Danio rerio: one gene and its partners. Each later gene encodes a partner of the first gene's protein in a complex. Links are inferred from orthologs where the notes say so. Each region holds a gene or a part of one and is shown in the gene's direction. Other genes may lie near its edges. The genes, in order: piga, pigp, pigc, pigq, dpm2 and pigh.

Evidence for each region.
Region 2: piga (region 1) and pigp share a complex: the UniProt entries of both Homo sapiens proteins name them as parts of the glycosylphosphatidylinositol-N-acetylglucosaminyltransferase (GPI-GnT) complex. The link is inferred for Danio rerio from reciprocal best matches to the Homo sapiens genes PIGA and PIGP.
Region 3: piga (region 1) and pigc share a complex: the UniProt entries of both Homo sapiens proteins name them as parts of the glycosylphosphatidylinositol-N-acetylglucosaminyltransferase (GPI-GnT) complex. The link is inferred for Danio rerio from reciprocal best matches to the Homo sapiens genes PIGA and PIGC.
Region 4: piga (region 1) and pigq share a complex: the UniProt entries of both Homo sapiens proteins name them as parts of the glycosylphosphatidylinositol-N-acetylglucosaminyltransferase (GPI-GnT) complex. The link is inferred for Danio rerio from reciprocal best matches to the Homo sapiens genes PIGA and PIGQ.
Region 5: piga (region 1) and dpm2 share a complex: the UniProt entries of both Homo sapiens proteins name them as parts of the glycosylphosphatidylinositol-N-acetylglucosaminyltransferase (GPI-GnT) complex. The link is inferred for Danio rerio from reciprocal best matches to the Homo sapiens genes PIGA and DPM2.
Region 6: piga (region 1) and pigh share a complex: the UniProt entries of both Homo sapiens proteins name them as parts of the glycosylphosphatidylinositol-N-acetylglucosaminyltransferase (GPI-GnT) complex. The link is inferred for Danio rerio from reciprocal best matches to the Homo sapiens genes PIGA and PIGH.

What each region holds. Positions count from the first base shown.
Region 1 is NC_133184.1:32,052,717-32,057,320, reverse strand, and holds part of piga (phosphatidylinositol N-acetylglucosaminyltransferase subunit A), read left to right. Parts: intron 1-352; coding exon 353-785; intron 786-3,300; coding exon 3,301-3,433; intron 3,434-3,513; coding exon 3,514-3,646; intron 3,647-4,604. UniProt on the Homo sapiens protein: Catalytic subunit of the glycosylphosphatidylinositol-N-acetylglucosaminyltransferase (GPI-GnT) complex that catalyzes the transfer of N-acetylglucosamine from UDP-N-acetylglucosamine to phosphatidylinositol and participates in the first step of GPI biosynthesis.
Region 2 is NC_133185.1:416,319-421,450, forward strand, and holds the start of pigp (phosphatidylinositol N-acetylglucosaminyltransferase subunit P), read left to right. Parts: upstream 1-1,573; 5' UTR 1,574-1,615; intron 1,616-1,720; 5' UTR 1,721-1,735; coding exon 1,736-1,823; intron 1,824-4,531; coding exon 4,532-4,604; intron 4,605-4,695; coding exon 4,696-4,814; intron 4,815-5,132. UniProt on the Homo sapiens protein: Part of the glycosylphosphatidylinositol-N-acetylglucosaminyltransferase (GPI-GnT) complex that catalyzes the transfer of N-acetylglucosamine from UDP-N-acetylglucosamine to phosphatidylinositol and participates in the first step of GPI biosynthesis.
Region 3 is NC_133195.1:16,064,733-16,069,958, forward strand, and holds the start of pigc (phosphatidylinositol N-acetylglucosaminyltransferase subunit C), read left to right. Parts: upstream 1-1,740; 5' UTR 1,741-1,758; intron 1,759-4,772; 5' UTR 4,773-4,775; coding exon 4,776-5,226. UniProt on the Homo sapiens protein: Part of the glycosylphosphatidylinositol-N-acetylglucosaminyltransferase (GPI-GnT) complex that catalyzes the transfer of N-acetylglucosamine from UDP-N-acetylglucosamine to phosphatidylinositol and participates in the first step of GPI biosynthesis.
Region 4 is NC_133178.1:25,531,428-25,536,444, reverse strand, and holds the end of pigq (phosphatidylinositol N-acetylglucosaminyltransferase subunit Q), read left to right. Parts: intron 1-1,037; coding exon 1,038-1,152; intron 1,153-2,678; coding exon 2,679-2,740; intron 2,741-2,985; coding exon 2,986-3,138; 3' UTR 3,139-3,860; downstream 3,861-5,017. UniProt on the Homo sapiens protein: Part of the glycosylphosphatidylinositol-N-acetylglucosaminyltransferase (GPI-GnT) complex that catalyzes the transfer of N-acetylglucosamine from UDP-N-acetylglucosamine to phosphatidylinositol and participates in the first step of GPI biosynthesis.
Region 5 is NC_133180.1:32,330,457-32,335,491, reverse strand, and holds dpm2 (dolichol phosphate-mannose biosynthesis regulatory protein), read left to right. Parts: upstream 1-1,463; 5' UTR 1,464-1,518; coding exon 1,519-1,521; intron 1,522-2,317; coding exon 2,318-2,407; intron 2,408-2,533; coding exon 2,534-2,636; intron 2,637-3,225; coding exon 3,226-3,281; 3' UTR 3,282-3,825; downstream 3,826-5,035. UniProt on the Homo sapiens protein: Regulates the biosynthesis of dolichol phosphate-mannose. Regulatory subunit of the dolichol-phosphate mannose (DPM) synthase complex; essential for the ER localization and stable expression of DPM1.
Region 6 is NC_133195.1:31,130,844-31,136,123, reverse strand, and holds pigh (phosphatidylinositol N-acetylglucosaminyltransferase subunit H), read left to right. Parts: upstream 1-1,800; 5' UTR 1,801-1,918; coding exon 1,919-2,095; intron 2,096-3,578; coding exon 3,579-3,788; intron 3,789-3,865; coding exon 3,866-3,949; intron 3,950-4,045; coding exon 4,046-4,120; 3' UTR 4,121-4,127; intron 4,128-4,224; 3' UTR 4,225-4,639; downstream 4,640-5,280. UniProt on the Homo sapiens protein: Part of the glycosylphosphatidylinositol-N-acetylglucosaminyltransferase (GPI-GnT) complex that catalyzes the transfer of N-acetylglucosamine from UDP-N-acetylglucosamine to phosphatidylinositol and participates in the first step of GPI biosynthesis.

The sequences.
Region 1 (4,604 bases):
ATTCAATAAAATGCTTTGTGTGTATCAATTCTTTTGGACATTTTTAACTTCTTTTTTTACAAAATCCTGCTAATACTGATAATTGTGATTGTTCATACATTTTTTTTCTTCTTTTATTTTCATATTTGTTTTCTTTTGTTGTTGTAAGTTTTAAAAAAATATTTTTGTAAAAGAAAATATCTTTGCAGATGTTGCTTATGCTGAAACAGAAACATTACACACTAACTAAATAAATAAAGTCAAATCCTAATCAAGGACTTAATTTAATATCTTGCCATATTTAGTGCCATATTATGCATACTTTATATAATAAACATATTGCAAGTATAATTTAGGTATTTTTATCTTTCAGGTGATGTATAACCAGTCCACATCCACTACCTGCTTTCACAGTTTGCCGTTGCTCCGGTGTATATTTGTGCGTGAATGCATCACAATTGTTCACGCTCACAGCTCATTCTCTGCGATGGCCCATGATGCTCTGTTCCACGCCAAGACTATGGGGCTCAACACTGTCTTCACAGATCACTCTCTCTTTGGATTTGCGGACCTGAGCTCTGTCCTGACCAACAAGCTGCTGACTGTCTCTCTGTGTGACACTAATCACATTGTGTGTGTGTCGTACACTAGTAAAGAAAACACAGTACTGCGGGCCACTCTCGATCCTGAGATCGTCTCTGTTATTCCGAATGCAGTCGACCCCACTGACTTCACCCCTGACCCCTGTCGCCGCGACAACAGCAAGATCACCATTGTGGTCATCAGTCGACTGGTTTACAGGAAAGGTCAGCAGAGCATGCTGCTTTTTTTGTAGTACAGAAAATTGGAATAATAGGCATTGTGTGGGGTCAAAATGAAAAACTTTGTTAGCACATCATTTGACTGCACTTAGTTTTGCAATATTTGTACACAAAGCTTGCACTACATGACGTTGTGACGTGTAGTTACATTTTTTGGAGTGGTGCGCGGGCATGTGAAGGCTGTGCCGGACCGTACGCGTGCACTTGGCAGAAGTATAAAATCAAAATAATATAATAAATATAAATCAAAATATAAAAAGTGTAAATTAGCTTCAACAGAGTGGGGTCATGTGACTCCATGCGCAGTAAGTAATTGAAAAAATGTACCTGTAAAAATTATATTGATTATAGGTTCTGAATATCAATTTCGATTACTTTTTGATTAATCACCCAGACCCACTGTAAATACAATGCAAATTCAAGTAAGTGCATGCACTTTAGAATAAATTGCAACCTAAACTATAATACTGTTCAAGAAAAGGTTTAAAAAGCCCCCATTTTGCATTAAAAAGGTCATATTTTGGTTTTAGGGGTCTCCAACAACAGGCTGAAATGCATGAACGGTCAAAATCACTTTCATTGTCTTATAATCCGCATTAATTTTTACCTAATTATCCCAGTGACATTCATATGAATCCTTCAGTGATTTATTTGTTCCCAAACCCCTCCTTCGCATGAAGCTCATCTGCGCTGATTGGTCCCATGACCCATTCTGTTGCGATTGGTCAACTGCGTTTAGCACGAGACAGAGAGAAATGCCTTCCACTGCTACAGTTTGAAGTAAAGTTAGTAGAGAGTATGCGAGAGCCCAATACAGCAATGCAATAAAGCAATGCAGTTAAACACCAGCATATTACTCTACTCTTAACCCTAACCCAAAGTAATAACAGCGACACGTATTCAGTATTAATTCACACTGCGGCAAAAAAATTGAACTATTTTGAAAATTAACCATGCCGCGTGTAAGGAACAGCTGATGGTGGCTGTAGCAAAGGCAAGCAGCAGATGATCGCCAGTTCGGAAACGAGTTTAAATTGGTAAAGGAAAAAGCACACGTCACGTTTTTAACATAGTTTTGGACACGTTATTGAATAGCCCTTTACAAATTTAACCAGAGGGATACAATACAAGCACTGATCTATAATTGATACATGATTACAAGCCGCACGGGGTGATTACAACTTATAACACACAATAAAACACATATTTTGCAAACTACACAATACAAGGCAACATTAAGATGCCTACTGGTTTAAAAAAAGCCTAGATTAAAAGAAGATGGCCAGAGGAGAACTTTTCTGTCATAAACTATAGTAAAACAACATGTCAAAAAGAATTAAAAAAATTAAACCCTACGAACAGGAATAGTAAATACAGGAATAAAGAAAAGAGTGTTCTTTTATTGTCAGCTGTCAGTCAGCGCCCACACTTTTTTTCGTGCACATTGCACCTTTCCCGTGTGCTGTGTAAATATAGTCAATCGGATACGAGTCACTTTTAAAAGATGAAGTAAGCATTGCAGCAAAAAAATTGGATACAGTCACAAAATCAGAATTGACCATCAAGATCTGCAGTGTAAATGCAGCCTTACATGTTATGATCTGGAGGAAGAAGAAACTGGTCCATATGAACTGTAAAAGTTACTAACAGAGTCCCTGTCAAAGTCTGAAAAAAGTCCCATAGTCTCTGCTGCTCCTTCAATAGCAAACGCCCAGCAAATCCCACGTTGCAGTGTAGGTTATTGTATCAAAAATCAGAAAAATAACAGGTACAAACGCAGCACTAGGTTGGCTATACTGTGGTATTATTGTGAAAATGAACTTTAACCCTTTTTTTTTTCTACAGCCGAATCTCCATCTATCAGTGATCGTCATCTTCGCATCATAATTAGTCCCGTGATCCCCGCCCCTCCACTAGTGTCTAAAGTAAAAGCGTGTGCACATTTTACCGGAACTGAACTACATATTTGGTGATGTGCCGTATCGACGTCGATGCGATCAAACAAAAGATCCGAACCCAACTCGATTCGTTTATTCAACTCTGAGTCAACTATTTAGTTAAAGAATCAATAGTTTTAAATATGGTGTACTTTTAGATTTAGACCTCAGCTGGATGTTTTCATTCACTTAGCTGTGTTACACACTGCATGGAAGGTCATTTTCAAAAACCCATAATAGGGGCTTATTTTTTATTGCCCTAAACTAATTTTGATGCTTTATTTCATTATAATATTATCTGGAGACTTCTACTGTCATCATATTTTTTTATTTTTTGCCTCCAAATATGAAACCAAATTATTTTAATATAATTATATTTTAATATAGTTTTATAATAATTAACCATATAGTAAAATAGGTTATTGATTATCTATTAAATGTTATATTAACATAATTGAAGACATGGATTCTGTATATATAAGTTTTTAATTTTTATTTCGATGGGTTTTTTTAAGGGTAATTTTATCAACCCTTTGATTTATTTACCTTATATTGTTTTGTAGGCATAGATTTACTAAGTGGAATCATTCCTGAACTATGTGGAAGGCATCCGGATCTTTGCTTTCTGATTGGCGGAGAGGGACCCAAAAGAATTATATTGGAAGAGGTTCGAGAGAAATATCAGCTTCATGACAGGTGAGAAAACGAATTGGCTTGAGAGATGCATATTTTCTTTTCTTTATTCATTTACTCTTTTTATCTATGTATATATAAAGGGTTCGTCTGCTAGGAGCTCTAGACCATAAAGATGTGAGGGATGTCCTTGTTCAGGGTCACATCTTTCTCAACACATCTCTCACTGAGGCCTTCTGTATGGCAATTGTGGAGGGAGCCAGCTGTGGTCTGCAGGTATATATGTTTATTTTTATGAATCTGTATAAATAAAATCACATTATTGAAGTAAAATAAGTTGCAAGTGACAGTTAAAGGGGACCTATTATGCAAGATTTCTTTTGTGTGGCAAGTCTGTGAACATAACCAGGTTCTAATGGTAAAATGTGTCATTAATTTTTTTTTATCACAGTTAATAACAGCATTGTGCAGAAACACTTTGACGTTCTACTTTTATACATGTCATCAGAGAATGAAGTCCCATCCAATAGTGACGATTTCTCCCTCATTAGCATAGGATATTAGGCTTGTTTTTTAATCTGCCACTATGCTGACATAGGCATTTGTAGCTCCGCTTTCTTTTAAAAAGAGGACTGGGATCCTAATCTCATTTGACTTTTAAGTGACAGTCACCAAAATGACACCATTAGGATCAAAACCTATAAGGGGCAGTTTCAAAGAGTTGTAAAACATTATTTGTGTGGTATTTAGAGCTGAAACGTCACATACTTTAAAGGTTACCTATTATGCTTATTAAGTCTTTGATTTCCCTAGTCTAGTTTGAATGTCTGATGTGACGTTTCGATGTGCGAAAGAAAGCCCCGCTGCTACTCAGTGTTCCATTATCAGTAGCAGTGGGGCTTTCTTTTGCAAATGTTCTGTCATAGCAATGGTAAGAGGGCATAATTAAGGATAATGATATTCAGTTTCTATGAAAGCCCTGAGGTTGACGTCAACCGAAATACCATCACTCCAAATGTGCAAGCAAATGTTCAAACTTTCATTAAAGATTATCAAAACAAACATTTCTGTTTTTAGTAGATTAACTTGCAGGGATTAATTATTAATAGCAGACAAGTACTACAGACAAAGAACGAAAAAGAATGACATATATTTATGCTAGTCTTTCCATTTTAGCTTGAAATATTTACATTTTTTATTAAATAATATGGTTTTGTCATTATAATAAGAAAAC
Region 2 (5,132 bases), on another chromosome or scaffold:
GTTCCACACCCAATATTCACAGTAGCGCGGTGAACAACATATGGAGAGGGTCACAGATTGTCACAAGAGTTCAGGAATGAGTGGATGTGTCTAACATTATATAAACCTAGTAAACACCAACTGCACAGTTTTACAGCAAACATCAGAGCAGCCTCGCTTCCCATGATGCACCTCGGGGAGACACACCTGACCCAGAGGCTTCCATTGCAAAACCACGAGCTGTTTACTGTCTAAACTGACACAAACCTGGCCAAACCTCTCCTCAAACCCGAGCTGTGCCGTGGTAAAGCTGAGGTAAACTCTCCTGCTCGCTTTATCCGCAGCTTCGCCTCAGGAGTTCAGCTTTTCTCCTTCAGCTCGTGTTTTTCTGCCTCTAAAAGGCGCCAAACTCGTCATTTCTCCGCCATTATTGAGCGTTTAATCTCTTCTCCTCTAAAGATCAGCTCGCACATCTGTAATTATCGCACTGAAAGGCGCAAACTTTACCAGGAAGTTGAACGCGACGCATTCTGGGCTGGCAGACGCTTTACCTGTGTTGATGACACGCGGGGCGTCGCGGAAGTAAGAACACGCGCTGCCGCAGCTAACCGTCCATCAGTCGTGAATATTCGGGGAGAAATGTTTATAAACTGACCTGATTCAGAAGAGCAGCTCCACTGTTTCCTGATGTTTAACCTCACGCATCAACTGCAGCGCGAAACTGACGCGGAGTAAGAAGCGCGCCCTCTGCTGTTCGCCCGCGCGAGTGGCATCAGCGCGCCCTCTGCTGTTCACCACTAGAAGGGATACAGGTGTTGTCCGAAGTAACAACTTGTTTTTACTTTATTTTAAATTAGCCATTAATTGTATTTGAGTTAATTGCACATTGTATTGACGTCTACCTACCCCAACCCCAAACCTCACAGCAATGGATTAACAGAAATTATACCGAATATCACTCATATTATTTATTAAAATGCTCATTAAACTGTATTGTATTACTACAACCCTCACAGTAATGTAAAAACAGTAATTATACAGAGTATTATTCATATTATTTATTAAATTACCCATTAAACTGTATTTAATTATCTTCTACCCTCACAGTAATGTACAATAATCAATATTGTTGTAGTGTCGTATAGATTGTGCTATACTAATGTGAGAATCCGCAGCTGTATCCCTTCTAGACGGAGTGACGTCAGCGCGCCCTCTGCTGTTCGGCCGCGGACACCAACGTTTGTCTTAAAGGCACAGCTCACCCAGTCATTTTAATTCTGTTGTCATTTACTGCCTTCTTTAGTTGTTTTACTTGAACACTTATACGCTTCATTTTAACTGCTGAACACAACAAATATTTAACATGTACGGTAAAGTACATGCTCTTAATCTGTCATAAACACACAGAATATCAGACCGAGCTAATACACGCAGATATTAGTGAATGAAGGAGAGAGAGCGTCTTCAAAATCAACATTATTTTTTACAAACAATATTTATATGGAAAATAAAAATCAGAGCATTAAACCAAATAATAGGTGCGCGCGCGTTTGTTTGTCTCCAGGCCGCGCGGGGGCGGCAGGACGCAGTGCGCCTGCGCAGAAACACAAGGAAGCACCATCAGGAAATAAGACATGTATGTTCTGTTTTTCGTTTTATATGTTATAGTATTTATCGAAACTAAAGCGTGTGTGATGTGTTAGTTTGGAGCATTGATGTGTGTGTGTGTGTGCGCGCGCAGGTGTCGCTGCTGGAGATGGTGATGGTGGAGAACTCTCCTTCTCCTCTGCCGGAAAGAGCCATCTACGGCTTTGTGCTGTTCCTGGGCGCTCAGCTGGGCTTCTGTACGTCTCTAACTCGATCTGTACTGATATTGCACACACATTAGCCGCATTTCCACTATCGGGCCAGTGCGAGCCAGGGCTTTAATCGGGCCGGGGCGGGCCAACAGCCCGGGAGGTTGAGAAATGAGGCTGAAATCATGTCGCGTTTCCACTGTCGGGCTAAAGCTCACAGCGCGTCACGCAAACACCGCCCACAGAACGTCCCCGAATCAAACGTCACACAACCCGCCCACTTCAGCGAGAATCAGGCAGATAAAGCACACCATAAATCATCACGAAACGAAACCATTAAAATGAAGACAACCGAAACAAACAAACGACACGTTACTGTACAGCAGTACATGACATGTCTATACGCACAGACCTGTGTATTTCCATTCATTACATTTGTTTACTCGCCGACCGACTGCATTGTGCATGGAGTGCTCTCGCCACTAACGCAGGGACCCAACACAGAGAGCGCACACATCCATAATATAAAGCCACAGAAATTCTCCTTTATAACTCAATATGTCATGTATTTTTTAACATCCTCTTGTTGATAGAAGTCGTGTTAAGTTTTCAGCACAAGAGCGAGTAGCCTAATAAAATATAGCCATATTTGTTGCGCTCGGCAGCTATTCACTAAAACTCCTCATTTAAAGTTTCATTTATAAATTTAACCACGTCAAATAAAAACATAAACAGTTGTTTGAGGATATAGAACACATTTTGTGTTTGGACTTCCCCCATATGCGTTTAAAGCAGCGAGTGCTGCGCAGGACTGAGTGACAGAAAAAAAGGTATAGGAGATTCTGCTTTCACTCACTCAAATAATGCTCTGTTTGCGCGATTTGATTAATATCATCGTATCCAAATACTTTATAAATATTTACTTATATAAATATTTACTTTATATAAATATTTCAAACCTTCTCCGGTGTTTATTGTTTTTAAAAAATATCGAAAATCTTTTTTTTTTTCAGACAGGTCTTTGCAAAATGAAAGTTAGGCTATATGTGGCTTTAAAACGGTTTGATTTATGTATTGTATATAGGCTACCTACATTGTTATAGTTAGCTTTTGTTTATTTTATATTGGTTAATTTATTTAATGTGATTATATATCCGATATTTGTAATTCTTTAAATTATATTTCAATATACCTTAGGCTATTTTATCAAGATATGACAATATATTGTTTAAAGTCTACGAAAGTGGGCACGTATTTTGTTAAGTTTATGTCTTTCTGTTGTATTTATATGTGTATTATCTCCAAAATAAATAAAGAAAAAAGCCGCTCGCGGCATAACAGAGCTGTGAAGGAGCGCTTTTGCCCGGTCTCACACACACATACAGGCATCTAAACGTGCACAAACAAACAAACATTTTAAACTTGACAAAAACTCTCGAAAACTTTTACTGTCTGCTGTGTTTTTAATATGGTGTAAAGATTATTATGCGTTGAAACATAAAGGAGGACGCAGCAAAGAACGTCACTATAAATTAAAACAACTTTATTATTTTATGCAGGAGCCTTACATTTAAAAGGGAAACATAAGGGTGATCATACGCAAAAAGACCCCAGACTATAAGGCTAGATGTTTTCTTTCCCTTATTTCTTTATTTGTTTGGCGCATGTACTCATGTGCGATCAGAAAACTGTCCGCCTCTTCTTTCACTCCGCCCCGAAGCCCCAGCTGGCCCTCCTTGGCCCAAGGTATTCGGCGGGCCGAAAAAGGCCGGCCGCTGGCCCCAAGAAAGCCCCGCTTTGGCCCGATTAGGCCCCGGAAGTGACAGTGGAAACCCCACTGGCCTTGGCTCGCCCTGGCTCGCTCGCTTTAGGCGCGATAGTGGAAACGCGGCTATTGTCCTTTACAGATGAAGAGAGGCTTTAATCCTGTGGCAGAAACATCAACAGAATCTACAGACTGACAGCAGTGTCTCACACACACACACACACACACACACACACACACACACACTAGAGTACAGGGCATTATACTGTCTGTATGTTTAGCTATGATGCTGAATGCTGACTGTAGTAAGAAGTACTGTAGTACACTTCAGTTTACTCAGGTAAAGTGTGGTGTATTGTGCTCTAAAGTTGTAGAAGAATACAGTTCTGACTCATAGATTACTGTAGCTGTTGTGGTACCATAGCAACCGTAGAATCACCACAACTGATCAATTACTGTAGTTTTGTTACCATAGCAACCGTAGAATCACCACAACTGATCAATTACTGTAGTTTTGTTACCATAGCAACCGTGGAATCACCACAACTGATCAATTACTGTAGATTTGTTACCATAGCAACTGTAGAATCACCACAACTGATCAATTGCTGTAGTTTTGTTACCATAGCAACTGCAGAACCACAACAGATCAATTACTGTAGATGTGTTACCATAGCAACTGTAAAATCACCACAGCAGATCAATTATTATAATTGTCATGTTACCATAGCGACTGTAGAATCACCACAGCAGATCAATTTCAGGACTTGACTCAGTCGCTGAAACACTACAGTGTTCACTATAAATGACTTGAGCATTATTTATTTGTTCTGGACTCATAATTGATATCTGAATAAACATGCAGCATGACAGAAAACAGTACTTCTGCTTGACAAACACCTCTATCTTGAAGACATTGCAGCTGCTGGTGTGTTCTTCATCTGTGGTGTTGTGTGTGTTTGTTTGTGTGTGTGTTTGTGTTCTCCATCAGTGCTGTATGTGGTCTGGGCGTTTGTTCCTGACTCTTGGCTCCATGCAGCCGGACTGACCTACTGGCCGCAGAAGTGAGTGGTCTGTCTGTCGTCTGCTCTTCAGATGCTGATGTTTAATGTCTGATCAATCACTCTTTCTCTCTCTCCGTCTGTCTGTCGTCAGATACTGGGCTCTGGCGGGCCCCATATACCTGCTGGTGGCCCTGAGCACCTGTTTCGTGCTACTGTTCGGAGTGAATATGATGAACACGGCTCCGCTGGCCTCAGTGGACAACATCACAGGTGAGAATTCAGACTAACACCACATGAGCCATTAGTGTTTGAGCTGCTGAAGATCATGTCAGCGGAGACTCAGAGCATTATAGATGTGCAGTTCTAGATGAACAGAGACAGGAGCCACAGACTGCAGACACACTCACACTGATGCATACACAACACACACACTGACGCATAGCCGTCTGTAGCTCCGCCCTCTTCTAAAAAGAGCTCAACCTCATTTGCATTTAAAGCGACAGTCACCAAAACACCACAATGAGGATCACAGCCTGAAAGAGTCAGTTTCAGAGAGCTGGAGGACATCAACTGTGTACTGTTCTCAGC
Region 3 (5,226 bases), on another chromosome or scaffold:
TTTCTCAAATGAAAATATATTGTGTTCAAATGGGAAAAAAGTTCTTGTTTTTTACCCAGACATTTAAAAAGAACAGATTTTAGAGCATTGAGCAGAATACCATGAAACAGTAAAACTGTGCTATTTATATCCAAGGTTATTACACCGTCAGAATCTTATACCGGCCCATGCCTACAAGTAAGTTGATTTATTTAAGTATGGTAAAAAAAAATGATTTCTCTCTCTCTCTGGTCTATTTCTGTGTTTCTACAACAACACTTTTCCTCTGAGAGTGTCTGTCCTCTAGGATCTGCTGCTCTTTCTGCTCTGCTCTGTGCTTTTCTGTTTGTCTATTGGTCAGACTGTTTTGTGCTTCCAATGTAATAGTGGCTTCATCATAGTTGCTCAAGTTAGTTCATAGCCTTTAACTTGATCTGACTCTCATTCATTCATTCATTCATTCATTCATTCATTCATTTTCTTTTCAGCTCAGTCCCTTTATGAATTTGGGGTCACCACAGCAGAATGAACCACCAACTTATTCAGGATATGTTCTATGCAGCAGATGCCCTTCCAGCTGCAACCCATCACTGGGAAACATCCATACATACTCATTCACACACATATGGACAATTTAGCTTAGCTAATTCACCTGTACTGCTGTAACCCATGCAAACACGGGGAGAACATGCAAGAAATGCCAATTGGACCATATGGCTTGAACCAGCTACCTTCTTACTGTGAGGTGAACGTGCTACCCACTACGCCACTGTGCAGCCCTTGATCTGACTCTGCACAATTATAAAATATAGAAACAATTATTATTACTATTATTATTATTATTGACTTAATATAAAGGATGATATATATATATATTACATTATTTTAGTTACTGATCTTTTCTCGTTGAATTTCTGATCTCATATCACCACCTTCTGGCCAATATCTAGAACTACATGTTGATTGTGAATAGGTTTGATGCTTTTTTTTTTTACATCTGAATGAATGAATCTTAGCTTGGTGTTTCTATACGTTCGTTGATGGACTTTTATTACAACTGTATGAAATAAATCCTTCATTTTAAAGCCAATAAGCTGTTTTACTCAGTATTAAAGTGCTAAACTAAAAATAATTCAATAATAAATAAATAAATGTCTCTGTCAATTTTTTCAAACTACTGTATTTAATTTACCAAAGTCACACAAGTGGCAATTGTACATCTGTCACATCCATTATGGAGACATGTCACATCCAAAACGACACTTTTTCCTCATGAATGAAAAAAAATAATTGTAGAATAAAATAAAATCAATCACATTTGAGGAGTCCGCTACAAATGAAAGAAGCCCTGTGTTATACAATATTGTTTGAGTCAAATTATTTTAAATACTCTAATACTGAAGTATTAGTGTAATATTAGTAACTAAAATGAATGAAAATAAATTGTTTGTGTGCAGACGGACTCCAAATATGATTATCCACTAATGAGGGTCAAACAAATGTAACAATAACTCAAATTACTAAACACTGTTTTTTTATTTAAATTTTAGTCATATGCTGTTACAAATTAATCAAGAGAGGATTACCCATAGACTATATAAATATTAAATGTATATGCATCTCACTTTTCACTCGTCGGCGGTTGTGAGGAACAGTCGTCAGGTGGCGCTCTTCAGTCAATACCACGGTTGCGCTTTTGTTTTTGTTTTTTGGTACGTCACTTCCGGATGTATGATGGCTTGACAGCTGCGGCTAAATACAGGAAACCCTGCTCATTCGGTAAGATTTTAGATTTATCTTGAACATTATTCTGTATAAGTTTGATATGAAATAATATATTTTGTCTGTATTTATACACTGTCGCCAGCTGGCTTACTGTATGACTGTATGATTGATTCATTCTGTATGAATCAGATTGACGTGAGAAGCTGTCAGTCAGATACCGCTTGACATTTAGGATAATAATAGATTGATTAAATGCACGTTTTACTTACACAAAGATAAACAATGCTGCTTAAAGTTTTGTGGTGTTTAATGTTTTTCTTTATATATAAACTATGAAGCAAATACATGATATGTGGAGAACAGGGTGTAGTTCACGCAAAAATCTAACTGGCCCCTCTAATTGGTTTTAAACCTTTATGAGTTTCTTTCTTCTGTCGAACATAAAGAAGATACTTTGATGAATGATGGATGCTGGGACCCATCTACTTACAAAGGCAAAGCAATTGCTATTGAAGTCAAAGGGTGCCAGGTATCAGCTAGACATGGCGTCACCTTATAAGGTTCTATTTGACATTTTTGTCAAAACTGAGTTATTGACATATTCTTACTAAATGACAACTTATTTACATTATGCGATGTTTTTTTATAAGTTGTTTACATTTTAAGATTTTTTATTTAAAAAACAAATGTTACACACATACTGTTTGCTATGCAATGCAAAAACTTTGAAGCTCAATATTTTAAAATCATTCAGAATGCAGATAAAACCTTATTATTCTAAGGTGACGATAGGCTGGTTTAAGATTGTGATGTATGATAACCTTGGATGAAAATATCACGGTATTGCTATTACTGCTCTAAAATAAATTCTTTTTAATCGTCTGGATAAACAACAAACTTTTTTCTACCTTTGAACACAATATATTTTATTTTGACAAACTTTTAAAAATATTTTGTAACAATAAACATGTCAGGCTAAATAATTTAAATCAATCTTTGACTTCCTCCCTCTTGATTAGCTTCAAAAACACTGATTTATTTATAATTTAAAAATGGCATTTTAGGATATCTTCTGCTGGAGATACTTATGTCCTAAAAACATAAAAACAAACAAACCTACATAAACCATTGGAACGGTATAGCAAAAAAAAAAAATTTAAAACCTTGATTTTTCCAAACCGTGGTATACCTTGAATACGGTTATCAACCCATACGTATTACCAGCATTCTTCAAAACATCTACTTTTGTGCTCAGCAGAAGAAAGAAACCCAAACAGGGTTTAAACAAGTGAAGGGGGAGTAAATGTTGACAATAAAAAAAAAATTAAGTGTACTTAAAGACCAATGAAAATTTCTCAGTTTCTCTGGATGTACTGAATTTACAAATTGTTTAAAATATTAATATAAAATATTGTTTTCTTATAACATTTATTCCAAATTTAAAATCTGAGTATTGTCATTTTAGAGCCCACCCCACCATTGTTGTGAACATTTTCCATTGTTGTGATTAACAACCTAGGTTATTAATATTGGTTTCTTATATTTGGTAATATTTTGGTAATATTCGGTAATATTGGTTTCTTAACTGGCCTAAAATTGAAATTGAAGAAAAAAAGAAAAGAAATTGAAAACACGGAGCAATCGCTCGCTTTTTTTAATGCTTAATAGTAATAATTCTGTTTAATCCCGCCCCTTTTCGCATCGCCATACGACAGAATTTTGCACACACAAACTCTAGTGTGACTGCAGCTTGAGCCCAAGGAAAATGAATGAATGCTCGTAATGCATTATGATTTATGCAAACTCACTGCATAGAAAATAATTTTCTGTGTACCTGAGTACCATTTGGAGTCCCATATGAGATTATTTTCACCATTGTATTGTAAAATGTTACTCTACCATGATGCCTGTTTGACAACAATGCAGAAAGTTATACAAGATCATCGCAGGATATCAGCAGTATTATTGGCTGGATTGCCTGTCAATCAAACTACCTGCAAAGGGTTAATTGCATCATCAAAGCAATAAAATAATAAATAAAAGAAAAACACTTGATCAATCAGTCGATCTAAATTAATGAAATCTTTCCAAATAGAAGTATTCGATTCATCTGGTGAAACTATATTCGTGTCACAAAACAGTGGGGGAAATAAGTATTCCACACATCACCTTTTCTTTTCAGAAAACATATTACTAAAGGCGCTGTTGACTTAAAATATTTCCCAGATGTTTAAAACAATCAAAAAAATCTAAGTATGCAAAGACAACAAATCTAATTATTTTACAAATAAAGTTATGTGTAATAAAAAAAATGAAGCAGGGAAAAAATATTAAACACATGAAGATAGAGAGGTGCAGAATGACAATAAAAGCCCAGACAGCAGCTGAAATCTCTCAGTAGTTCTTCAGCAACCCCCTTTTCTTCGCCATTGTAAATTAATATCAGCTGCTTCAGTCCAACATCTACATTAGCAGGATGATAAAAAGGAAACCATAGCGGAAATTTCAGCAAAACAATGATTCAAAACACAGCTAAGAAAAGAGAAAGAAAATCAAGCTGTAGAATGGCCCAGCCAATCACCTGACTTGAACCCAATAAAAAATACAAATTAAAGATCAGATTTGAAAGATGGGACTCACATAACCATTAAGATTTTTACACAGTGTTGAAGTCTCTGAAGAACTCACACCTTAGCAATTCATGTGACTTCATTCTCCATATGAGAGGCGTCTTTAAGCTGCCATCATCAAAAAAAGCTTTTTATATGAAGTATTTCAGTAGTTCAACACTTCTCCTTGTGTCATTCCATTGTTATTACACATCACTTATTTTTCAGATGTGTTTTATTTTATTCTATTTTAATATTTGTATTGTTTGAGTTTTTACCAAAATCAGGATCAATCTCATGTCAACAGCTCCTTTAGAAACATTATTCCTAGATAAAAACATGTCATGTTCAATAGAGAATTCCTAATGTGGCAGCAAAACTAAAAATGAGCAATGTCACATTTTTTCCCAATATCATGCATAGCTAATGTTCAGCCACTGTGTTCTCTGATTTGGACAGGCGATGGGAGCAGACAGCGGTCCAGGGGCTCCTTCGGCCGTCCCGTGGAGGAAAGTGCTCTATGAACGGCAGCCTTTCCCAGACAACTATGTGGACCGGCGTTTCCTGGAGGAGCTGCGGCGGAACATCCGCGTCCGCCAGTACCGCTACTGGGCTGTGGTTCGCGAGACAGGCCTTATCGCCCAGCAGGTGTCCTGCGTGGCCCTCTTTCTCACACTGTGGTCCTACATGGAGCAGGGTGAGCTGGAGCCGTCTGCCGTGTTATGCGTCTGCCTAGGCTGCGCTCTGTTTGGATACGGGCTCTATGAGGTCCTGGGAGGAGCCAGTGATGGCAAACGGACGCGTCTTGCGGACCTGCAGAGCGCTGCTGTCTTCCTAGCATTTACTTTTGGGTTTTCACCAGTTTTAAAGACTCTGACCGAGTCGGTCAGCACTGATACCGTGTACGCCATGT
Region 4 (5,017 bases), on another chromosome or scaffold:
CTAATTTAGCAGGGTTTATAGCCAGTCCACCTATACTGCATGTCTTTGGATTGTGGGTGAAACAGGAGCAACTGGAGGATACTCACGCAAACACGGGGAGAACATGTAAACTCCACACAGAAATGCCAATTGACCCAGCCGAAGCTCAAACTAGCGACTTTCATGCTGTGAGGTGACAGTGCTACCCACTGCGCCACCGCCCTGCTTCTCATTCTATAATGTCTCAGCCAATGTCTGTCATCAAAGTGATTTAGTATTATTACATCCCAGTCTTGAGCAGCTGTGCTCCCAAAGAGTCTCGCACTTCCAAAAACTGCCATTCATTTATTGAGTTTAATCTTTTATCTTTTGAGGTGCAATTATTTTAATTAATTAATTTAATGAAGTGCAAGGGAAAAGCTCACCTTGCCACTTTATACCTCAGTAATTTTTTTTTTTTTTTTTTTTTTGTCATTTAGTGCCAGTTTATCAGTTTATCGTCTCTTTGACTCATTAGATAGAAATTATGTTTTTTTTTCGCAAATGTTTCATGCAGACTTTCAGTTTTGAACATAAGTCTTAATTAATCGATTTAATTCATTTTCTTTTCGGGCTTATTCCCTTTATTAATCAGGGGTTGCCACAGCGAAATGAACCGCCAACTTCATGCACCGCACATGTTTCATGCAGCAGATGGTCTTCCAGCCACAACCCATCTCTGTGAAACATTCATACACACCCATTCATACTCATACACTACGGACAATTTAGCCTACCCAATTCACCTGTACCGCATGTCTATGGACTGTGGGGGAAACCGGGGCACCCGGAGGAAACCCACACGTACGCAGGGAGAACATGCAAACTCCGCACAGAAACGCCAAATGACCTAGCTGAGGCTCGAACCAGTGACGTTCTTGCTGTGAGGCGACAGCACTACCTACCGAGCCACTGCATCGCCAAGTCTTAATTCAAATCTTTGAATTAAAAAGATCTATACCGTATGTAGTTCCATCTGGGTTGGTGGGTTTGTAATGTGTTTGTCTGTGTGCTTGTAGCTGCGGCTGGTGGTGGTTCTGTTTCAGGGAGTGATTCACCTCAGTGTCGACTTCATCAACTCTTTCCCCCTGTTTGCCATCGGCCTGCGCATCTGCAGACCATACAGACTGGCAGGTGAGCCATACTGCATCATACTGAAGAAATGCATACGTTCTTTGATTTAATCGTTGACTTTTTTTAAAAATATAACAACTGATTATAAAGATGAAATTATGAACGTCCATGTCCTGTTGTGATTATCTCACCTGTTGCCTATTTATTTTTTGTTTTATAGCTGATCTGTTATTTAAAACACTATATAAATCATCTTTGAGCTTGTCATGACATTTTTGACATTTTTGTTGCATGATTTATTGCATCTAAATTTATTGTGATAAATTATATTAATGTCATTTAAGGGCCATTTTATGGAACTCATTATAGAATGCCAGTATTAAAATGGACCCTTTTTACAGGACTGTTCTGACGCATTTTAACAGGCTTCAGCATCGTAAATCCTTAAAGGTTTTTTATGTTTAGATTTAAAAATACATATGCACATTTATGTGGATTTATGTATGTATTATATCCTCTTTGCAATATATTAGCGAGTTACTGCTTATATGATGCGTTTGTAATGCAGAGTGTATAGACAGGACAGTAAATTTGACCTTGTTCTTTCTTCTGGCTGTTAATAGTCTCACATAATTTTTGTTTCCTTTTTTTTTTTTTGAAAGTCTTGATAACACCATTGAAACCCCATTTTACTGTACTGTCCTGCTTTTAATAATTCCAGAAGGCTTTTTTATTAAATGAACTCTCTTAAGGACATTTTTAATAAAGTGACACCAGGAAAAACTTTTGAATTTTTTTTATCTTGTATTAGCACTGAAAATCTTATTTAATTTACATATTCATTTGTTTGTTCTTTTTAATTGTATATTTATTATTGAAATGTTCTTGCCATGAGAATAGCCTTGGTTACTGACCATTGCTGACCATTGCAAGTTTTTCTATTATTATTTAAGCAAATAGGATTGTAAAAAAAAAAAAATTGTTGTACTCTCCTGTTCACGGCGCTCTACGTTTACCCACCTATGACGACTTCCGCTACTGAACAACCAGGAAATCTGTAAAAGGTTCATACACTCAAAAATGACTTTTGCTTCTTGTTCTAACTACTTATTTAAAAGGACTTGAGACAACACAATTCTTAAGTTTTTTGGGGGGATAACTTAATTGTTTTATGTTCAATCACTTTAATTTGTGAAAATGGTTAGGTTTACTGTTTTGATTTGTGTTGGAGCAACATAACGGTATTGTATGGAACCCTGCATTTTATAAAGTGTATAATAGCACCATAATGCAAATATACTCTTTAAAAGAACACATTTGAAATGATTAGAGTAATTTTAACCCTTTAAGGTGCACTCCTTGAAAAAAATGTTTAAATCGAATAATATACTGACACAACTCTGATAAATAGTAATAAGCAATTAAAATAATAATGATAGCCTATGGATAAAAGGTCGACCAGGTGGTTACGATGGTTGTTAAAGGGTTAACAATGAAATGATTAAGCATTAGAATCGTAATGTGAAAAGATATATCCTAAACAAGTAAATAATGATAACAGTACATATTATGTCTTCGTATTCCAGAGGGTGTTAAATTCAAAGTGCTTTGTGAGGAGTCAGGATCTCCGCTTCACCTGATGATGGAGGTAGGTTTATTATTGGGAGAACAGTTTAAAATCCTGCGGTTGACTTATAATTGAGTTTCATTTGTGGTTTGGGTTTGACCTGTTGATTTTCTGGGATGGGTTATATAAGGCTTATTGTTTGGTTGAATTCATAATCCGTACAAACACTGGACATGCTTTGCTTAGCTATGAGGTTTGATAATGAATGATGTTCTAGATGAGCAAACATGAACGACAGAAAAAGAAATAATTTTCTCCACCCTCAGATCAACCCATTGAAGTGCAGCTCTGTACTACAGCGCTACCGGACGCCCACCTATAGCTGTTACCCTAAGGATTCATGGGCCGCATTGTGCAAGAAACTATTTGTAGGAGAACTTATTTACCCCTGGAAGCAGAAGACTGACAAGACAGACTAACTTTGAGGTACCATGCCTGTTCAATTCTGGTTCTGGAGTTTAGCTCAAACTTATGCCAACACAGCTGCCTTTTTTGTTTGGGGTTGGAGCTAAACTCTTTCAGGAATGGACAACACTATACTAGACTAACATAACCAGACATGTGCACACTGGGGAAAACATGCTCTGTTCGTCAAACTTCACTCACTTCCAAAATAGTCTTAATAGTTTTTCTTTTATAAAAATACAGATTATGTTAAATGAAATAATTAGATAAACATTGAATCACTATTTCTGTGATTGAAACTGTGATTATTTTTGTATTTATTTTAAGTCTATTTCTACTTTTGTATAACATTTGAAGATGTGCCATGTACTACTTGTAAGTTTGATAGTTAATTCTGATCGCTGTATCACTACCAATTTATTAGATTTATTTGAACTGGAAGTAAAACTGTCAACCTTATTAGTTTTTAGCCTCTCCTGATAGGCTAGGTAGATGGAAAGTGACTTGAGTAAAGTTGTTTAAAGTACTATAAAGTTTAAAGTGGTACTATAAAATTGTATACATTTATATAAGTCTAATCTACCTGATCAATGTGAACTGACTGAGTTAAGTATAGTTACATTTTTTTTATTAAATTATTTAACCATGATCCTCTTGTATAATCATTGCCAAATTGTGTTTTTGTAGCAGTTAATAATGTTATGAGTTAATAAAATGTGTATAAATGCAGGTGGAATTAATTTTGTGCCATTTTTTTTTTTTATCTTTGAACCCTTTAATAAAGTTTATTTAATCCATTTGTATACATACAGTATCTCTGGATCTTAGATCGCTTTTTTGGTGATGAATGTTGAAGCTGTAAACAACTGGTGTACAGTGTGTATAACTGGTCTTGGATCTTTTGTTTGGTGGAACAGCCTGTGAAGAATGTGCTCAGACTGGAGTCCATGAACAACACGACAATGACAGGCCAGGCAACTGATTATTCATTGACATCTGGGAATTCACCTTCATGTTTGTGTTGAGGACATGAAGCTATTGTGTATATCTGACACAAAGATGTGTAGGTGAAAACTGAAAAATATGCACAACATAGATTAGACTAGACAGAAGATATTAGATTAGTTTAAAATTTCTTTAAACTAAATTTCCCTTTTCTGTTTTACCTGAACAAAAATGTTTTTCAGTTTGTGTTTGTCTCTTTTTTTTTTCTTTTGCTGCAGTGCAATTAAATGGCATTGTCAAGCAGACAAACTGACCAATAATAATGAAAACCGTAAAGTCCCAAAGTGTTAGTTCACCCCAAACTGACAATTTTGTCATTTACTCTTCCTTAAATTGTACAAACCGGTTTGAGTTTCTTTTCCTGATGAACACAAAATAAGTTTTTAAGTTAAGTATAAGTTAAAGGTTTTTTTCAAACCTTTAACCATTTACTTCCATGTATTTGTTTTTTCTACTATGGAAATCAATGATTACAGGTTTCTAACAATTTTCAGAATACCTTCTTTTGTGTTTAGCAAAAAAGGAAATCCAAACAGAACCAATGCAGGGTGAGCATTATGTAAGTAACTAATCTTTTTTTGGCTGAACTATGCCTTGAAATGTTGTTTGCACCTTTCCGCAATGCCATCATCTTTACTAACTTGCATGCTGAAGATGGAGTGCAAATAAATAAATGTTAATATTCAAACAAACAGTATAGGCTATAATAAAATATCAGCAGATATAATAATAAAACCATGTATCTATATAATATTGCCCTGGAAAATGAAAAATATGGGATGGATGAATAGATAGATAGATAGATAGATAGATAGATAGATAGATAGATAGATAGATAGATAGATAGATAGATAGATAGATAGATAGATAGATAGATAGATAGATAGA
Region 5 (5,035 bases), on another chromosome or scaffold:
ACTGTTTGTGTGTGCAGGCTTCATGAGCACACAGAGCACAGGTGAAATTAAATATATAGACACAGCTAAATTTGCTTGGGGTTGTTGGTAACATTTCACCAAGTTTTTTGTTCCAACTGATCCAGAGTGTTGTAGCCAAGGATTTGCATTACTGCTAAAACATTTGCAACAGCATCATGGGTTTAACATATCTCCACAAACACACAATTTAACATTGATGGGTTTAACTAAGTCAGGAATAAAAATATAGGCTAACTGTCTTAGTTCAAATATAGTTTCCCTCCTATAACATGTCCTGTGTCTGACTCTACTGGTTCGTATGTGGAATGAGGATCAATGTGACCTTACTGTATGTGAAGACTGAAGTGAATCAACTGTTTTTTTTTATTCTGGCTGTATCTGCCAACATTTGTCTCCGAAATTCAGATGGAAGTGTTAAACAATGGACCGGGTTTCAAACGGCGGCGGCGGAGATCGGAAACTATACGTATATAGCCTACGTGTGTGTTTGTGCACATCTCCCTGCGATATAGTCTAATGTAATCCAACTGTAGTATTTTGCAGCATCATGATCATGTATGTACCATAAAACCACATGCAAAACTTTTCCTTACAGCGCCACCTACTGGACACTTACACACACTGAGCAGAAAAACACTTCTCAAGCAGAGGGCCGAAATACTAAAATAACAAAACCAAATATATTTATCAGTTTAACTCATTCTCTCAGAATAAGTATTGTATGTGTGTGAATGTGAGTGTGTGGATGTTTCCCAATACTGGGTTGCAGCTGCCTTTATGGTCTTCATTAAAGATGTGGAGAAAGAATTATAGCCAATATAAAGTTGATTTCAGAATCTAATAAGAAAGCTTTAAAAACTGTGAAAATATGCTTTGCTTTTAAGGTCTTCGTGTAAGTAGCCTTAACTCTGATTTGCAAAACAAATTTTTTATGCTAATAAATAATAATGTGAACAATTAATTTAATACTTATAAATATTTAATGTCTTTCCATTTCTCTCTTCTCTTTATTCATTCATTCATTTTCTTGTTGGCTTAGTCCCTTTATTAATCCGGGGTCGCCACAGCGGAATGAACCGCCAACTTATCCAGCATGTTTTTACGCAGCGGATGCCCTACCAGCCGCAACCCATCTCTGGGAAACATCCACACACACACACACACACACAAACACACACACACACACTATGGACACTTAAGCCTACCCAATTCACCTGTACCGCATGTCTTTGGACTGTGGGGGAAACCGGAGCACCCGGAGGAAACCCAGGCGAACGCAGGGGGAACATGCCTTCTCTTTATCTCTTATGTTATTTTTTTCTATTGTTTCATACTGTTCTTTTTGGAGGGTATCTAAACCTGGATCTGTGTTTGTGCGCCCTCGTGTGATGAATAATGAAAAAACCAAGGTGAGTTGTAAACTACAATTCCCAGCACTTCCTTTGCCTGTCGGAAGTACGTACGTTTTACAGCTCATGCGGAAGTGGCACGTTCGTAATGGTAAGATGAAATTAAATGGGTATAAAATTGTTGTTTTGTCCTGTGTATTTATATATTTTGTATATTACAGAACACATTTTAAGACGCCTCGTCGTTCCTAGAGAGTTAACTTACTGTTCAATTTTCTAGTTAATGTGATGCGTCTGGTTCATGAGAGTTTCAGTTTTTAGACATGTTATATAACTTACTTTTTATTTAAAATTATATTTATTCATTACTTGTTCGTTCATAGTTTAAAGACCGCTGCTGAAAGCTAGGCCAATATATACTTTGCTGTGATCCAGAGATCCAGACAGAAAGTCTTTATAAGCTCTATGTATGTACATATGAAGAGTTCAGATGCAAAAACCTCTAACGTTAAGTGCCATCCTAAATTTCCATGGAAAATTTAAAATTTTTACCTACCTCCTTTGTTTATGTTGAGATATTTCACTTTAAAGAACAGGAAAAGGACTTATTCTTTGTCCTAAAGTGATATTACTGAACATACACACTGGAATCTGATAAAAATGCTTATTTTAGAGGAAAAACTCAGATGGCATTTAGAGATATTTGCATCTAAAATCTTCATACATGTTCTTAATTTATGTTAAACTTGAGGTAAAATTATTATTATTATTATTTTTGTTTTGATTGTAAAATACAATTGAAATAACCCCAAATAAGACTTAAGAAATTGTATATTATTTTATTGTATAATTTGTATAAATATTTTATTGAATTACTTATTTTTGCAATTTATATAAAATGTGATGTGTTAATATATGAGCTAAGCCCAAAAACTATTTATCTTAAGGCAACCGGAGCAGATCAAGCTGTTGGCTTTGGACTCGTTGGCTTTAGTCTTTTGCTGTTCACATATTACTCCATTTGGGTGGTAGTCTTGGTAAGTGATCAGTTAAATTCATTTTTACCGGTAGATAAATCATGCACAATGTGTTACTTATTTCCTGTGCTACTAAAACATATGCTGCTAAAAAAAGTGATGGAAACTCTTCTGCTCTTATTCCAGCCTTTCGTAGACAGTGACCATGTGATACACAGCTATTTTCTTCCACGAGAATATTCAGTCATACTTCCTGGCATCGCAGCATTAATCCTCTTGCTCTTTGTTGGTAAGCAGATCAAGTAATAAAACCATAAAAAAATTAACATGACATGTTCATGCTGTAAATTTTGATTAAAATATGGTCATTTTAAGCATTTATGCCTCAGTGAGGAAAGCGAAAAACAAAATCCTTCTTTAATAAAAATAATAATTTATAGTAATAATACATTTTATTTGTATAGCACTTTTCCAGCATAACATACAACTCAAAAGTGCTTCACAAACATGAACAAATAGTAAAAGCAACATCAACGTGGGGAGCTAAAATATAGAAACAGATAAGCAAAATTTAAATTGCAAATGTTGAGAATAAAAATTATTTATCAGAAAATTATTATTACAATCAATAGTTTTGAAATATTTAAACCGGATGATTAAACTTTTACTTTAACATAATAATTGTGTTAATTAAATTTATGTGAACATAATTCTGTCAAAATAGTTTTTCTTGCATTTTCTTGAACGCTGCAAATAGATTTACTAAATGATTTTAAACATTGTTCACTTTTAGCATGTTTGCACAGCTAACCTTAAAATTAAAAGCTTTTCATGTTTTCCTCTGTATTTAATAATCAAATGTTCTACTTCTCTTTAAGGCACATTCATAGGGATCGTAACATGGAAGAATCGAAAACCTAAGAAAGTTGATTAAGACTCTCCAGGTTGTTGTGATTCGTACTGCAGCAAGAATGATCAGCGTTGGTTTTACTCATCCATGTGAAGAGGATGAACTTCTGGAATCCAGTCATTTGTCATGTTCAGGTGCTGTAGTTGTTAAAATGAACATCAAAATAGAGTTAACTAATTCACCAAAGCCGTACTGAACATGTACACAATAATAGTCTACCTGAGCTTTGTACATCTAGTAGCTACAACATTGACTCAAGACCATGCTAGTAGTGCAATGATTTAGGGAATTAGCGTGAATAATACATAAGATGATAAAATAGGCACATAAGACATGTGTGTAGTTTAGAGCACATCTAAATGAAATATGGGAGTAATGTTTCATTGTTCTTGTACTATGCTTTAAGTCTGTGTGTTTCAGCTGTTCTCTTGTTTTGTAAATAGACATATTTATGAGGTAGAGTGCTTCCTTTTAGCCTCAAATATCAGAAGAAGAGTCTGAAAATAATGGGAAAGGGATTTTTTGCTGTTTCAAACAATTCCTCATTAAATGAACAGAAATATACCTATGTCATGTGTTTTATATGATTTATTTGACATAACACTTCTGCTACTGTAGCTCATCTGTTTTTAGGGTTTGAGGTGATTTTAATATCTCAGCTGTAATGATAGTGGTTGTTACTCTTGTGCTGTGTTACTGCTTACCTTTCTATTGAACCAGTCTGGCTATTCTTTGGCCTCTTGCATTAACAAGTCATTTTTACCCACAGAACGGATGCTCATTAAATATTTTATTATATTATTTTGCTATAAAAGCCCAGTAGGGCGAGGCAGTGGCGCAGTAGGATGTGCTGTCGCCTCAAAGCAAGAAGGTCGCTGGTTCGAACCTCGGCTCAGTTGGCGTTTCTGTGTGGAGTTTGCATGTTCTCCCTGCCTTCGCGTGGGTGCTCCGGTTTCCCCCACAGTCCAAAGACATGCAGTACATGTGAATTGGGTAGGCTAAATTGTCCGTAGTGTATGTGTGTGAATGTGTGTGTGGATGTTTCCCAGAGATGGGTTGCGACTGGAATGGCATCTGCTGCGTAAAAACTTGCTGGATAAGTTGGCGGTTCATTCCGCTGTGGTGACCCCAGATTAATAAAGGGACTAAGCTGACAAAAAAATGAATGAATGAATGAAAAGCCCAGTAGATCGGCAGTTTCTGCAAACAACCTTTTTGACAACAACAACAATCAATGCCAAATGCAAATTCTGTTAAAGAGACATTTCACCCCAAATGAAAAAATACTAGCTTTTATTCTCAGCTTTAAAAATATTATTTTTTTTTCTGTTGAACATAAAAGATCACATTTTAAAGACTGCTGCTATCATAACCATTTTCCATAGTAGGAACCATTCTGTAGAAATCAATAACACCCAATTACCAGTGTTCTGTGAAATATCGTCTTTTGCAGAAAGAAACTCGGATAGGTTTGAAAGAAGTGGAGTGGAGATAAATGATTATATGTATGATTTTTTTGGAGGGTGGAGGTAAACTATGCCTTTAAATCAGCTATTGTCAGTATTCTGAAGTTTGTTTTGCGCTTCAGCAGATTGTCTTGACAGTGTCTACATGCCTAAATGCTTCACGCTGATGCTCTGTGATTGGCTGTTTAGATATTTGTGTCAGCAAGCAGTTTAACTGGTTTGCCTAATAATTGCCAGTGCAAGTTAAAGTGTGTATAAGATTTATATTAATAACTTGTTTTAAAGATTTATGTATTCATGATGGAGGTTTAT
Region 6 (5,280 bases), on another chromosome or scaffold:
GAATTTCATTGGAATTCAAAATGTGATGTCAAATTATGACACTGGCTTAAAATCAAATATTCAATATGAACTATAAATAGATCAGTTGACATCCGTGTAGCACTGGCACTAGGACAGATTGTCGAGCTTTCTAATTGATTTAAAAGTGTTCAAGCGGTCTAAACTGACAATCTACAAGCCATAAGTATCGAAATGTTTGTATTGGCAGACATAAACACTGAGAAAACAGCTACATTCGAGTGTTGTTATCGCCCTGGGCTTTTGTTACTCAAGCTAGCTACGATTAGCATACGTGACTGGGCTGTCTCCTCTAGTTTCAAAGACTAAATACTAGTGGGGTTAGAAAATATGACTTCTGTATCTGAATTAATAATGGTTTAGTATCGTACAGTCCTTAAAGTATGTTCACCCAACAACACACACTGATCAACAGAGCTTTGACCGAACAAAACAAGCTGATTTCGAGCCAGAATCACACCGCAGTTTTCAACAAACGAGCTGCTGAATTCCCTCAAACATCGCACACGACAACGACTCTGTCATAAACACAAAAACAATAAGCCGGTTGATGTGAAGATAACTGTTTTTGCCCACCAGCTTGTAAAATGATTCCCCTCCCCGGTAGATTCGGGTGAATGTTGTTGCCAGGTCAGATCAGCTGATCGGCTTGTTTTCACTGGAGCGGGAGTCAAAGGTTACCGACCGCAGGGGCTGATGGGAAATGCAGTCAGATCTCATACATTTCCTAAAGAATCGATAATGCAATGGGGAGAGGTCATCTGAAAAATATTTCAAAAACAAAATGGTGGTAGAATACAATTTATGGGAATGTACTAGGCAGTTTTTTTATTGTAGGCTACATTTATTTGGTCGATTATTACCTTCACATTGCTGGTGACAAAGACACTAAAATATAAATAAAATAAAATACTTAACATTTTAATTGTTACTCAAGTTAATATAGTCTTACTGCATAATCTAATAACATCAAAACAGTTAGCGTATTTCACATGGCACTCCGGGGGTATCCTGCTGTTCCCAGGCCAGCCGAGAGCCGTCCTGGGTCTTCCCCGAGGCCTCCTCCTGGTGGGACATGCCTGGAACACCTCCCAAGGTAGACGTCCAGGAGGCAGACTTCTCAGCTGACTTCTCTCGATGTGGACAAGCAGCGGCTCTACTCTGAGCTCCTCCCGGGTGTCAGAGCTCCTCACCCTATCCATAAGAGTGCACCCTGCCACCCTTCAAAGGAAACTAATTTTGGCCTCTTGTATATGAGATCTTTTCCTTTCCGTCATGACCCAAATCTCATGACCACTGGTGAGAGTAGGAACGTAGATTGACCGGTAAATCGAGAGCTTTACCTTTCGGCTCAGCTCCTTCTTTACCACAACGGACCGGTACATCGACTGCATTACTGATGACGTTGCATCAATCCACCTGTCAATATCACTTTCCATCCTTCCCTCACTCGTGAACAAAACCCCAAGAAACTTAAACTCCTCTACCTGGGGTAAGAACTTTCCTCCAACCTGGAGGTGCAAATATTACTAATCAAAAATTTTATTATTTACTTGTATTTATTTAAAAAAATATATTTTTGTGAAACATAGCTCAGTAAATAACTTAATGAAAAAGATCATTTAGGCTTTTACAATGTACTTTACAGTGTACTTGTTTTCACTGGAGCGAGAGCTAAATATTTTTGTGCAACTGGTTTTGTGGTCCAGAATGGGAGTTTTCAACCCCAGTCCAGTAGATGGCGAAAACGCACCTGTATGTTATTTTGCCAACGTCACATTATCATAAGAAGAAGATGGTTTTACTGTTGGTGGAAAAATAATAATCTAAGCAAAACTATTTATTCTGAAGTCTTTATTAATGTAATTTTCCGACCGCGAAATAACCAGCAGTGATCGAGATGGCCGACGAAGAGTTCACAGACATAAATGGCAACTGGATTTCTTTAGACTGCCAAACGCACTCTTCTTTCTGCAGAGAGTTTACTGTTACCTCACCCAAACTGTCCTTGCGCAAGGTGATGGTGTACACCTGCTGTGTGTGGTTATTTGCTTATGCTGTGTTCTTCTTCACCCAGGTAAGAACATTTTATCATGCGGACTATGAAGGCCTTGGCGTCTTTTGCTGTTTATTAGACAAAAAATGACTGTTTATTGGACTTTGATTTGACATTGCGCGAAAACGTCTATTATACAGTTGAAAACAAATTTATTAGCCCTCCTTTGAAATTGAACTTTTTTTTACTAAGTTATTTTCCCAAGTTTTCTTTAACGTTTAGAGAAGATTTTATTTAAAAAAAGAATTTAATGATAACATAATTATTTTGTTTTTTGCCATAATGAAATTAAATAATATTTTACAATTTATTTTGCAAAATACTAGTAATATTAATCTAAAAATGCAATTTAAAGGCTTAACTGGGTTATTTAGGGTTAACTAGGTCAAATCATTGGACAACAGTGGTTTGATCTGTAGCCAATATTTAATATTTCTTAAGGGAAAAAAAATACATATTTAAAATGTACGTCCATATAGTGAGGAAACAGAAGTAGTTTACGTTGTCATTTATAGTGCATTTATTACAGCTGCTGAGTGCAGGTTAAAACATTTGATTGTGCATGAGGCTGTATTTGGAGATCAAAATAAGAAAACAATATATAGTTTCTCTGAAAAAAAAAAGCTTCTAAAAAGTGTAAATGAAAAGTATATTTGGAAATACTGTAAATATTTTCCTTGCTCTGTTAAAATATCCATCGGCAATTATTCTAAGAAAAAGGATTTTACAGTAAGGCTGATCATGTGGTCTTCAACTGTATTCAGTGATTTTATCACATGAGCCAAACCATAAAAAATGCTTTCTTTACCCATCACAATATGCAATTTTAAAGAAGATAAAACCAAAATACAGAATATGTTGGTTCAATAAAGTCGTATCCCTCTAAATCCAATACACTCAGTAACCATTTCATTTGGCAGGATTATAGTCGAACAGGAACCCAAATTAATCATGTTTGTGTTTTTAAGGCCTGTGATTGTGTAAGCATGTAAAGCATTCATGCATAATGAAATAATGAAAACTATTTTACATTTGATTACTCAATTTGAGTACCCGAATACTGCTAGAAGGTTGTTGTTTTCATTCATCGCTTTGCTCTACTGTTTTTATCAATACTTTTGATTGATTTATTAAATTTGATGCAGATACACTCCACAAAATCATCATAATCAATGTAAAATTATGTAAATTCTTTCCAAATAGAGCTATTCATTTCATCTGGTGAATTTATTTACAGAATCTCAATGTGTATTGACAAAAAACTAAATACTGCAATATCAGCTTTTTCCCAATATCATACAGCCCTAGTATATATCTCAAAATTCCACTTAGTACTAAGCAAGAAGAACTTATTCAGGAATTTCCAACATGGCTGCGATTGAAAGTTTGATATTATAATAGAATATATGAAATATTTTCGTGAATGTCAAGCAAATGTTCAATATAAATCTAACCTAATTGCTCTTATTGATCTAATATAATTCTCCTTCTGTTTAATATTCAGAACACGGCGGTTCTGTCAAGTGCCATCATCCTCACTTTAGTTGGGATGGTGATTCATATTCACTTTGTGAAGGTGGACCATGAGACCCTTCTCATAATAGGCTCTCTGGGTGTCCAATTGTCCTCGTCTTACGCCTCTGGACGAGAAAGCACGACTTTCATTGAGATGAGCAAGCTGAAAGACATCGTCATAAATGAGGCTGTTTATATGGTAAACACACAGTGACCTTCACGCATGATAGATATCGAGATGTAAAAATAATCAGTGTTTGTGTTTTTGCTCCTCAGCACAACATCATATACTATCTGTGCATTCTCATCAAGGACCCAGCAGATCCTGAGACGGTGACCAGTGTTGTTCCTCTCTTCCAGGTTCAAAACAGCTGTTGTTATTCATTCGCAAAAGCAAGATTATAGGAATTTGTGACATCTCAGTATGTAAATGAACACCTTTGGTTCTTCCTCCAGAGTTCAAAGCCTCGGCTCAATTGTTTGATTCAAGTGTACAAGAGCTGTCAAGAAATTCTAGCACAGAGCAGATGACGCAGAGGTAATGCTTCATGTTTTGCTAGATATTCTGCATGTTTTACATGACTGACATAGTTCTGTGTCTATATATGCTTTATGACTCCATGTTTTTCGATCAGCAGAGGCTTTCTTTGAAGATGAATGAAGATTGGAAAACTCCAGAACGAATCATAAGCACATTGTTGGTAGCTTTTTTGTATTGTCAGTAATACACAATGCATTTTGTTACATGCAGAAGTTTTTAGATAGGCTTCGCATTCAAAAACGTTTGTACATAACAGTATTCTTGCCTCATTTAAAACATTATTTAATGATTAGCCATTTAGTTTTTTAGGATGTGTTCACACTTGTTTTGCATAATTTTGTTAAAAAAAACTGACAACGGAATATTTTCAATATATATTTTAATATGAAGACTTGAATAGATCTATTCAGAAATAATTCATTATTTTAGATTGATTAGGGTGATTATTGTTATTATTATTATTATTATTTTCCATTTTAGGGGAGCACATTTGGATCAAATATAACAAATCACAAGAAAAAATAAGTACAACAGAAAATACAATGGTCTATGGTTCACTGGTGAGACTAACAATACAGAAATAAATATGACACTGAAACAATTACTGTATGGTATAAATATTTAAATACAAGTAATCTTTGTTAAAGCTACAGACATAATTGCTTAAATGCTTTTAACAGGGTGTCCCCGAGGTCTTACAAAGTAATAAAGTGTCTTAAATTTCAAAAAACAAAATTTTAGGCCTTAAGTTTGAAATTCACTGCAATATTGTGCTGCGAGTCTTAAATCATTTTACACAGGTCTTATTTTACTATTTCCATTTAAAGCTACCCTATCGGGCTGACACCCAATCACCAATAATCAGTCTTAATTTTTTGGTTCATATTTAGTTTTTTTTATTGTTATTATTTTTATTATTTAAAAAGATACATGTCACATAAGCTGTTAGACATTTTTACAGCTAATTAAATTCCCTAATCAGGGAAAGAAAACTAAAGCAACGCATCCTTTTACATGATCTTCCATTAATACAAAAACTATTTACAGAAGTAACCGGGCCATTCAAAATTCTTAGTGTTTAGAGCTGTATCAGTCTAAAATTTCACTCATATGCTTTTGAAAGGGTCTTAAAAAGTCTTAAGTTTGACTT